Linked DNA regions of Drosophila melanogaster. The protein of the gene in region 1 interacts with the protein of each later gene in a pairwise test. Each region holds a gene or a part of one and is shown on either strand. Other genes may lie near its edges. The genes, in order: Ccn, CG5023 and Dus3.

What was found.
Region 2: the proteins of Ccn (region 1) and CG5023 interact in a two-hybrid assay, tested with the Drosophila melanogaster proteins (one large-scale study listed by BioGRID).
Region 3: the proteins of Ccn (region 1) and Dus3 interact in a two-hybrid assay, tested with the Drosophila melanogaster proteins (one large-scale study listed by BioGRID).

Annotation. Positions count from the first base shown.
Region 1 is NT_037436.4:17,688,208-17,691,963, forward strand, and holds the start of Ccn (Ccn), read left to right. Parts: upstream 1-1,807; 5' UTR 1,808-2,268; intron 2,269-3,756.
Region 2 is NT_033777.3:20,167,438-20,171,193, forward strand, and holds the start of CG5023 (uncharacterized protein), read left to right. Parts: upstream 1-1,997; 5' UTR 1,998-2,077; coding exon 2,078-2,083; intron 2,084-3,756.
Region 3 is NT_033779.5:19,757,001-19,760,756, forward strand, and holds the start of Dus3 (dihydrouridine synthase 3), read left to right. Parts: upstream 1-1,878; 5' UTR 1,879-1,911; coding exon 1,912-1,943; intron 1,944-2,001; coding exon 2,002-2,152; intron 2,153-2,203; coding exon 2,204-2,504; intron 2,505-2,582; coding exon 2,583-3,756. Other genes in the region: CG10628 (uncharacterized protein), read right to left, coding at 305-891, 950-1,472, 1,532-1,573.

The DNA.
Region 1 (3,756 bases):
TTTAGAGAACACACATGAAAGACAAACAGAAAACATGGAGGAACTAGAGGGTAAGCCCGGCCGACATATTGAAATTCATAACTACATACAAAAACCAATTACAATATCAATTTAAAAGGGATTAAAATGGACCGGCCGGAGGCTTAAGCGGCTCCCAACGCCACTCGCCATCTAAGCTGCCGCTCCTGTTGGTCCTCCATGGTCAGAAGATGGCATATTTTGTGGCGTATTTAAGATTTGTTCCCTTCTAAAATTTGTGAAATTGCAAATTGTATTTGCCTGAGCCGTGACGAAACCCACAAACTTTTAAATTAAATTCTGAGCTAGCAGATTTTCATAATAAATAACGAGTCTTACACGAGTATAATCAGCCGTAATGCCATTGTGTAATGTAGAGATACACTGTATTCAACCAATACCGGGGCGGAACTTTCAACAAGTGGCGAATTCTTTGCGATTCGGTGTGTATTTTTGCATAATTTATTTACCCTGCTTGTTAAATCACAAATGCTGTACACAAAGAACCGCAATTTATGCGAGAGTATTGAAGTCTGTACACTGGACCAGGCCAAGATGCAATTTGGCTAAGTAAAGATGCCGATAAAGTGCAGTCGGATGGTGTGCAAATAGACTAAAAACATAAACTGCAGACGAGGCTAAGCAGCTCAAATGCATTAAATTTAAACGCTCGACTAAGCGGTTTAATTTGGAAAGTAGCAAAAAGCTTCGCCAATCTTTCATCGGACCAAGAATTCACTTCCTGTCCCTCCTCGACCACGTCCATTCATCGATTCGTCCATCCATCATGTCTATCAATGCCCGGGTCTTAGCCATGAGACAGATAAATCAGTTAAGCATCGTCATGTCAAGTTAACAGGCGATTACAAGGGCTTTACCTGACCAGATACGAAGCTTAAGACCATTGCGAGAGGTCAGCGAGGTTTAAGAGCATGTTTCAGTGAACCATTCGCCCTATTATCTATAATATGCAATAGTTCCTTGAACATAATGTTGGCCAATGAAAAAGTAAGCAGAAAAGAAGCAAAAATTTAAAAGTGGTATAGTCTCAATTAACTTAAGCACATATGTATTTGTAATCAAAAGCGAGGGCAATAAATCAAATAAGCTGGCGATTACAAAAGGCCGTCTGCATGCACCGATAGTTGATAAGCAATTGAGTGTGGGCGACGCAACAAGAGGATATCACGAAGGACACGAAGGATGGAAGCCTGCAGACCTCGGCTTGTTGATAAAAGAAATTAAACAGACAGCGCTGAAATAAAAGGGAAAACACAGAGGCAAAGAAGCATTAAGCCCACAAGACAATTGACAATGGGTGGGCCTGAAAATGGTTCAAGGATTCGAAGAGGGGTGTCCTTTTGGCAGGGGATCTGTGGCATTTGTCTCGACTGTCTCGTTGACATGACGTTGCGCGAATTGTGCGCCAGGATTGCTGTTGTGCGTTCTGTTGGCTGTGTTTTCGGTTTGCGAGTCGTCTGCCAACAAAGTGAGCAACACGCGCCGATGATTATGTTGCCGCTGACAACGACAACAACCACAGGAACAGCAGCAACACCTAAAGCAACAGCAATAACAGCAACACCAAAAGCAACATCAGCAACAGACTACTCCGAAAACGAGTGCCATTTTCGGAGTCCTGTTGGCGGCAAATGTCTTGTGGCACGAAGCTTTTCATTGACTAAAAGTGACGCATGCGCAGTTGGTCAGCCAACTTGGACTCCGATTTGAATTCAGTCCTCCGTCCTCAGTTTCAGTTCGTTTTTGTCACTCGTTCGTGCTGCACGGCACACGCGTCGTATGAGCGATATCACCTGGTCTTCTAAGACTGTTTTATTGGATTTTGGCGCAAGAAGGCAAAAAAGCCGGCTAAAGTGTCCCTCGTGGGTGTGTGTACGTGTGTTGCCGGAAATACTTTGAGCAATCGAAACGACAAAAGGCGAATAAAAAAAGATAGAAACCAAAACAAAAGTCTAAGCAAATTAACTTGGCCCATTCGTTGTATTGCGAGTATTGTTCTAGTGGTTATATTATGTTTGGGGTTTTTTGCCCAGCCCTCCTGCCAGCACGAAAGTAGGTTAATTGACGTGTGTTGCGGGCGTATCTACAAGGAAAATAATAAAAAAAAGTACCTAGAAGTAGAAAAACAAATACACGAGCAGCCAGTGAAGTGGTCAATTGCCACTGCCAGGGGTCTCTGAACCCCCTCGATAAATCAAAAGTGTGGGCAGAAAGTCCGGCTAATTTAAGGTATGTCAAATGGTATACTTATTGTTGAATATTTTATTATAATATTGCTAAAAATACAAGTTTAATCAACACTGACCGCAGTGTTAATGCGTTTATTTTGACGTTTGTGCCATTGGCTTCAAATAAATCTACATAATGTGGCAAAAATGGAGGTTCAATGCACTAGCAAATATCTATTGTTTTTAGTTGAACGAATTTTGTGCTGATTATTTGTTTCTACGTTGGACAATTTTAATTAGTTCGTGCATTGAGCAAGCATCGATTAATAGGTAATATATAACCCTAAAAAAATTTGAAGCACAAGTGTGGAAGTAATTTTAAACGAACGTCATTGTTTTATTGTTTTAAAAGCTACCATATTAAAGCGATAAGCTTCCAATTAAAAGTTAATGGGAGTGTTAAGTGTTAAATATTTGCATTAATGTGAGGCATTTAATTTTTTTTTTAGCCAAGTTTGTGGTGGTATGAGTAGAGTATGAGATAAATAGTTTCTTTTGTTATTATATTGCGGTAAATGATGTATTTCTCTTGATAAAAATAAAAATGCGGTATATTTTTTTAAATTACCCATCGAAAAAAAGTTTCGCATGCCAATGCGACAATTGACACTGCAGCAAACAGAAAAAAAGGACATAATACAAAGGGGAATAACATTGCGTAAACAAAAATAAACATATGCAAAATAAACTTCAAACAAATGTTGCCGCACCGAGTTTTGGGCCATCAAAACAAACAGAGAACACAAAAAAGGATAAAAACAGAACAAAAAAATTGAAACCGAAGTGAGCAACGCGGGGAAGTGGGTTCATGGTCGGTTGCGAATCGGTGCCTTAGAGGCAACTTTGTTGCACAAAATTTATTAATTTTTTTTTTCGCCAAGTGCGTGCTTGTGTGTGTGTGTGTGCGGTGTGTGTGTCAAATTTAAAAGCATTCTTTCCAGTTGCCTTTGGACGGGGGATGTCCTGGCAGCTGCCTTTTTGTTTTATTATTTTGCGGAAGCTGCGAACCAACATTTATAAAAAGGTTTTTCTTGCTCGTCCTGCTACGTGAGCCATGCACACACAAACACACCAACACACACACACACACAACATACATGCCCACACCCACAGACGCACATTGCTGTGCATTACCGTTATTTTATGACGGAAGTACATTTAAGCAGATTTTTTCTCACAGAACTCCCGCTCCCTTCAACCGAACTGGAAAAAAGGGCTGCCAAAAATGTACAAAAAAAAAAATTGGGAAACCGAGGAAATTTAAATATTTTCTTTTACGCTGTGCTTTTCATTTGCCAGTCTCGCTAAAATTTATGACCAACAAAATTGGAATATTCCCCAAAACAACAGTAGCAACAATAAAGCCAAGACAAAGTTCGCTTCGATGGCCGTAAAAAATAAGAAACCTTTACGAAGCGTTTCGATGAAAAATAACCATCCAGAATTTGAATCAAGTAAGAAAACATTGAAATACTCGATTAAATAAGCA
Region 2 (3,756 bases), on another chromosome or scaffold:
ATAACAAAAAAATTATTGGGAATATACAGTTCAAAAGCGCAAACATTGGTGGTTGAATAAGCAAAAAATAATATTTAGTGATTTATTGAAGGTTATCTTAAATTATAGTTGAATTGAAAACTTTTAATAATAAACATTAATTAATTTTGGTAATAAATATAACATTTGCATATTAAAGGTATTTATTTCATTATAAGAGCTCACTTGATAATATATTTTTTTACTGGAAGCCGTTTAAAATATTTCTGTGATGGATCAAACATTCAGTATTAAAACCTATTTGGTTTCAATCGATGCAAATAATTATTTATGAGCTATTGTTTTGGGTAAATTAATTTTTTCGAATATTTGCCTATTGTAATGAAAAGCAGGAATATTCTAGCTAGAGGCATTTCTGGTTTCCAGTTTGGAAAATGAGTGTAATTCGTTATTTTCCAAATTGGAGAGAGCATTTGCAGTTCGTATATCACATTTGCGATGGAGTGCGCCCACCCCCTCTCCGTGTTCACATAATTCCGATGCTTTTTACACAAAACGATTTCGATTGCCAGATCTTGGCAGCAAATGCTGAGACTTGGGGCCACTTTTTGTAGGTCGATGTTTTCGGCGGACTGACGCCCACGCCAATGCCTTCACTTTGACATAGACTCATCCACTCATAGACCCACAGATACAGCCCCAAATAAATAGATGTCCACAATCAGAATCGCACTCACACCAACACGCACGTTCTGTTCTGACACTGAGCTCCGAGTTGCTCAATTAATTTTGATTGCAGCCTTGGCAGCTGTTTTTGCTTTTACCCTAGGTGTTTTGTTTGTGCTGCCGCCCTCACACTTTTCATCGAGGACTTTCCACAGACATAGTTCATGGTTAAGTTCATTTGTCCATAAATTTTCATATTCGAGCATTTTGTTTTCGTTGTGTGTGAAATAAATAAATAAGAAAATTATTCATTCGCTTGGGTGAGAAAAATTCATTGAGCGTTTTTAGATGAAGCGTGAATATACCACAAGGCTGAGGTTTATCAAAGATTCTGCGATTCACTCGGTAATTGTAAAATTGTAAAATGCAATTAATTAAACCAAAGTGGATTTATGCTTTGAAGCGAATAATTTGCTAAGCTGAGCATTCATCACTTATGCTATGGAAGAATTTAAAAAAGAAAATCACAGATTTATGTGTGCCAGGTGTGAAAAGATATGCACATTCACGCCCTTTAAAATTTGTTTATGTTTATTTTGAGTAGATTTTATGGAGCACCTTGCCTGAAAACTTAAACTTGAACTTGGCCAAATGTCTGACTGGATAATTAAATTACTCTATCGCAGAGTGCAGCGAAATAAACAAATGAAAGCCTTTAAACTTTGTTGTGTTTGCTTTTAGCCAAATTATCTGGTGCTAAAACTTTGTCATATGGGAAAAAGTTTTAATGTAATTGCAAAATGATTTTAGTTTCACTAGATTTTCGGCTGAAATAAAAAAAATGAAATGGCTTTATTGAAAGTTTGGGAATATTTTTGAGAGTGATCCGCACTTATTGCCAGTGGGATTAGGTGGAGCCCACACAAATATGTATCTTTGGGATACAAGTATGCGCTTTTGACTAAGCATAATTGCTGGCAAATTGCTTGAAATTTGTTCTGCCAACCATGAAAGCGAAAGGGAAACGACTTCAATACCAGATATCTGGCACACTTCTGTCTGAGATAATTCTCAATCTTTTTTTTTATTTCCCTCCACTTTTCACGCGGTGACGTCACAAAGAGTTTCCGCCGGGCATCCGCGGTTTGCATCTAAATTTGCTTTTCCCGCTCCTTCCCTGCGTCACCATGGTTTTATTTCGGGCGATTTTGGCATCGGGCAAATCTATATCTGCCCGCTGACGTCGACGTCGACAGAAGCGGCAGCGGCAGCGGCATTAGCCTAACCTAAAATCGTTTTCAGCATTTTCGTAAATTATCTTAGGCCAAATGGAAAACTGTTTCAACAAACCTGCGTCAGTTGAAATTTGTGTCTCAAACGCGCCACACGCTAATTTGCATTTGCATTTCACTTTCAAATCTAATAATTCACAATGGCTGTAAGTTCCACAAGCTTCGTAAAGGATAATTAAGTGTCCTGGGTGTATTAAATTAAATCGAGCAAATTATTATTATAATTTGTATTATTGAGTATTTGATACATTTTGGATTTTTCTCTAAGAATGTCCGAGTATCAGGCTTAATTGAATTGCCAATTTCCTCATTTTGGATTTTTCGTTTCCGATTTCTCTTTCAAAGTGAAAAAAGCCTGAAAAAGGCTGCCTCACAAAAAAAAAAAAAATTGAGCTGATATAATTGTTTATGAAATAAAATTATTCAACCGTTGATAGTAGAAAAGTCACGTAGTTGTGAATATACCCATTCAATTAATATGCACACTCGTTCACAGAGAGGTATCAAATAAAACGAAACAAATAAGGAAATCAACAAATTAAAGTGAAGCGAAAAAAGTGCGAAGTAAATACAAAATACATTTTTGAAAAAGTGCCAAATATCAGCATATTCATTTGTATGAAAATGCTTATTAAAACAATATATTGCCCGTTGATTTATGCCTTTATATACATTTACGTACGTTTATAAGCAGTAATCAGCTCACACAAATGCATAAAGCAATCAGTGTTTGTATGTATTTATAATTAAATAAGCAATTAAAAGACAAAATATTTAATTGCAAACAGCGCGAGCGATTTAATTAAAAATTTCTTAAATTGGTTAAATATTTAAATAGTCAATTAACATTTGGCCCAGACATATATTGTGTGGATTATATACATATTATCCTACTTATTATCCTACATTGTATAACCAGATCCTGATGCCAGAGGCTCATGTAGAGTTTTCTGGCCAAGTGATTTCAGCTACGCCCACTCGCAGCAGCTGCCAGATCATAATTCATTCTCATATATCGCGTATTTGTGCTATTTATTTCCCCTATATATTAAAATAAAAAATCACTTAGTTGACAGTCTGGCCGGGGGATGACAAATGCCCTTGGGCCATTGGGCCATTGGGATGCCCGGTAGTTAACCAGCCATTAATTCCCATCGAATCGATGGAAAAGAGTGGCCTCCATTTGGTCGCAAATCACTCAGGACGCAGGACTTTACAATTCAATACAAACAAATTACGCATTTCATGCATCATTCGGTATTCGGCATTCCTTTTGCACTTTCGATTCATAATTAATTTGCGAATTTTCCGCTGTTGACATTTGTCTCTCAATAATGCTGACAAGTTTTTGCGACAGACAGTCAAAGCCACTGGGCCATAACTTTGTTCTTAATTGAACTTAATTATTTGCTGAATTATGCGGAGTGATGGCACAGATGCATAAAAAAACATTTGGCGACCGGTGTCTTTGGGGGCCATTGGATTTTTTTTTTGTTTCTTTGCTCTTTGACTGATTTTACTTTTTATAATTAATTCCCGCCGACCTGGTGACAGTTTGTGTTGCAAAAACTTTCAATTTATGAATACAAATTACGATGTGATACATTTTTTAGCAGCAGTGTGCATTTATTATGAATGTTCAGTATTTTTTTTTTTTTGAACGAACGCCATATGCTTATAATATATTTTTTAAGTCCCCTTTTCTGTGTAGTATAGTTATAATCATGACCTTTTTTGGTCACTCCGGACTATGACATATTTTAATTAATGCATATATATTTGCGGGTTTTGATTTATTGCATTTTTAAGGAAAAATTCT
Region 3 (3,756 bases), on another chromosome or scaffold:
AATTCAATTCAAAGGATTCTACCCAAGGACTTACACTTTGTTCTATCGAATCTTACTCACTTACTGCAGTAACAAAGTTAGAAACAATTTTTAATTTCAGTTCTTGGTAAAGTTTTCAAATTGATTTCCGACAAAGAATTAAACACACAGGATGCTTTATAAGAAGTATTCTTCTTGTCTTACTGCCTTTCGTATTTTGTAGAAAAACTAATTTAAGAATAAGAAGTCAGTTTGCAGTACATTTCCGCTGCTACAAATTTAATTTAATTTCTTAAGCCGCTCACAAAACTATTTGCAATAACAACTAGGTAATTTTTGGACCCACCACCCCAACGCGCTGTCTTAGCTTCTCCTTGACCTGATCCTCGTCCGCCAGGAACTGCTTCTCAGCCAGCCGCACCAGGGTCCTCCTTAGCTGGGATTTCACTTGCGTGATCTTCGACGAGTTCATGGCCGATATGGGGACAATGCTGTCGAAATTGAGCACCTGTTTCGGACGCAGTTCCTCGGGGCACTGTTCAAGTCCGCTGGCCAAATCGCTGACGAGCGGCTTAACTTTGGTAAAGATCTCGTGGGCACCCTCCTTGTCCATTTTGTTCAGCAGCAGGACACTGGGCTTCTCCAGCAGCGATGGATCGTAGAGCTCCAACTCTTTGTTGAGCGCATACACATTGGCCAAGCAGTCGCGATGCGGATGTTTGGGACTCAGCTGGAAGCCGAATATATCCACCATGAAGACCAGCAGGCGGGTGCGTTCGATGTGCTTCAGGAACTTGTGACCCATGCCGAAGTTCGCGTGGGCGCCCTCGATCAGACCGGGAAGATCGGCAACTGTGATGGAGCGCAGGTCCCTGTACTCGATGGTTCCAATCTGGGGTCGGATGGTGGTAACTGAGGTAGGAGTTGTTAGTTAATGATTAAATACCAACTTGATCTAGCAATAACTCACAGGGATAAGCTGCAATTTTTGGTTTGGCATTGGACACGGCCTTAAGAAGGGTGCTTTTGCCAGCGTTGGGGAATCCCACGAGACCCACATCTGCTATTAGCTTTAGGTCCAGATTTACAGTGCGATTCTCCCCGGGACGTCCCAGAAAATTTGTGGCCGTGCATCCGCCAGTACCTCCGCCCGCCACAATGCATGTCGCCTCGTGCTCGTCGAGGTCGGCGATGAGTTTTTGTTGGTCGTCATATACCTGGACGCCCACAGGCACCTCGATCCTCTGGTCAGCTCCACGGCGTCCAAAGATGCTGGCTTTGCTACTGTCCTCGCCACTGGATGCTGCCACTCGCTTATCCTTCAATCCCTGGACGACCTTGCGAAGGGTGAGTCCTTCCTTTGCCACCAAGTAGACGCAACCGCCTTGGCCACCAACTCCTCCGTATTTGGGCAGTCCATTTCCACCATGTCCTCCACGAACCGCTAGGCGCAGTGTGTCCAGAAAAGTGGGCCGGAAGTGGGCACGACCGGTCTGGGCATTAAAACCTTTTGATATTACTTTTGATTTAGGTATAATAGTAATGTTCTCACAGATTTGCTGGATTTTAACAGGAATTTAAAGATTTGCACCATCGCGCAGGCGGCATTATACAATAGCGATGAGCAGACCTGCAAAAAGTGACTGATTCACTGTGACCACGGAGGGAAATAAATCGGTGTCATCTAATTTAGCTCGGGCAAAAACTTCTAAATTACCAATTTAAGGGTGGAGGAGACCTCATCATTGCCACGTAAGTCGTGGATTAATTTTAGTATTTATTAGTTAATAACCAGTGAAATCCATTCAATTCACAGTTATGCTGAACGCGACCAATATCTTTTCTTCTATCGATAAATCATCACAAGCAGCTGATTGACAAAAACAAGGTAGAAGAAGACGCATACCAACACGTGCGATTGTTTATTGTGAAATGGATTCCGGTATTTGCTACATCAAACCAGAGTAAGTAAGCTTAATGGCGAATATTTGGTTAATTCAATTCACTCTTTATACCTTTTAGATACCTGGTAACTGAAGCCGATGGCGGCAGTGCTGCAGCTAACACCGAAAACAGCGACACAAACAAAAGAAAACGCGAGGACGGTGGAGAAGTGGAAGCCGGTGAAAAAAAGAAATGGGATAAAAAGGAACGCAAACGCGGACAGAACAAGGTTCGTCAATAATATATAATATAGATACTATACAAAATATCGTATTTTTAGAACCGCCCAGTTTTCAAGGACGAGCGGTACTCGCATCTGTGCCACTCGCTGATCGATGGAACCGGTGGAGAACCTTGTTCCCTGGCCAACTGTCGCTATGTCCACGACCTGGACGCCTACTTGGCCGCCAAGGGAGAAGATTTGGGCCCTGAATGTTATGTGTACACCACCAAGGGCTACTGTGCCCGCGGTGTGAGTTGTCGCTTTGCAAAGGCCCACACTGATGAACAGGGCAGGAACCTCAAAAGGGAGGACTACGATGAAAATGCTCCTCCAACCACATGCAATGGCGTCAGTTCAGGTGGGCAATTCTTCTGCACCTATCAGCTAACTGATACTAAAGTACCTTGATAAACTCATTAATTGAACCCCTTTTCAGAACTCCAAGTGCGTCTACGAAAACATGAATATGACTTCAGTCGGAGCAAGGAGCTTATTAAAATGGCTGAAAAGCTGAGGGATGCCCGAAAACTAAAGGAACAACAGGAGAAGGAAAAGAATCCGTCTGAAGAGACTGGAGAAAAACAACCTAGTGAAACCACCGAGATATTAGATGCAGAAAAACAGACGGATACTAAGAGTAAACCAACTGCCACTGGTTGTGCAATTGATGATTCCGCTATCGGCAGAGATGCTGACCATAAGCCCGCCGTGGATTTCCGCGAGAAACTCGTGTTGTCGCCACTGACCACGTTGGGCAATTTGCCTTTCCGCCGGATCTGCAAGGAATTCGGTGCAGACATCACCTGTGGCGAGATGGCCTGCGCTCAGCCTCTCCTGAAGGGTATGGGCCAGGAGTGGGCCCTGACCAAGCGACACCAGAGCGAAGATGTCTTTGGAGTCCAGCTATGCGGAAATAATCCCAACATGCTCAACCAGGCGGCGCAGGTTATTCATGAGACGGCCCAGGTGGACTTCATTGATCTTAATATTGGCTGCCCGATAGATCTGATCTACCAGCAAGGCGGTGGCAGTGCGCTGATGCGACGAACCAATATCTTGGAGCTGACAGTGCGGAGTTGTGCAGCCCTGTCGGACCGCCTGCCCTTCACCGTGAAGATGCGCACCGGCATCTATGCAGACAAGAGCGTAGCGCACGAACTTCTTCCGCTTGTTGAAGAGTGGGGTGCCTCGGCGGTGACCCTGCACGGGCGATCCAGGGAGCAGCGCTACACTAAACACGCCAACTGGGCTTACATCGAGGAGTGTGCCGCCAAGGCAAAGTGCATGCCGGTGATCGGCAATGGCGACATACTCAGCTACGAGGATTACATGGAGCGAAGGACGCTGGCGCCTCACGTTTGCTCCGTAATGATTGGACGCGGCGCGTTAATAAAGCCCTGGATATTCCAAGAGATAAAGGAGAAACAGGCCTGGTCCCCATCGTCCGGGCAACGCTACGAGATGTTGCAAAAGTTCTGCAACTACGGACTGGAGCACTGGGGCTCAGACACCAAGGGCGTGGAGACCACTCGCCGATTCCTCCTCGAATGGCAGTCCTTCTTGTACCGATACATACCCGAGGCTTTGCAGACCGCACCGCCGCAAAAGAT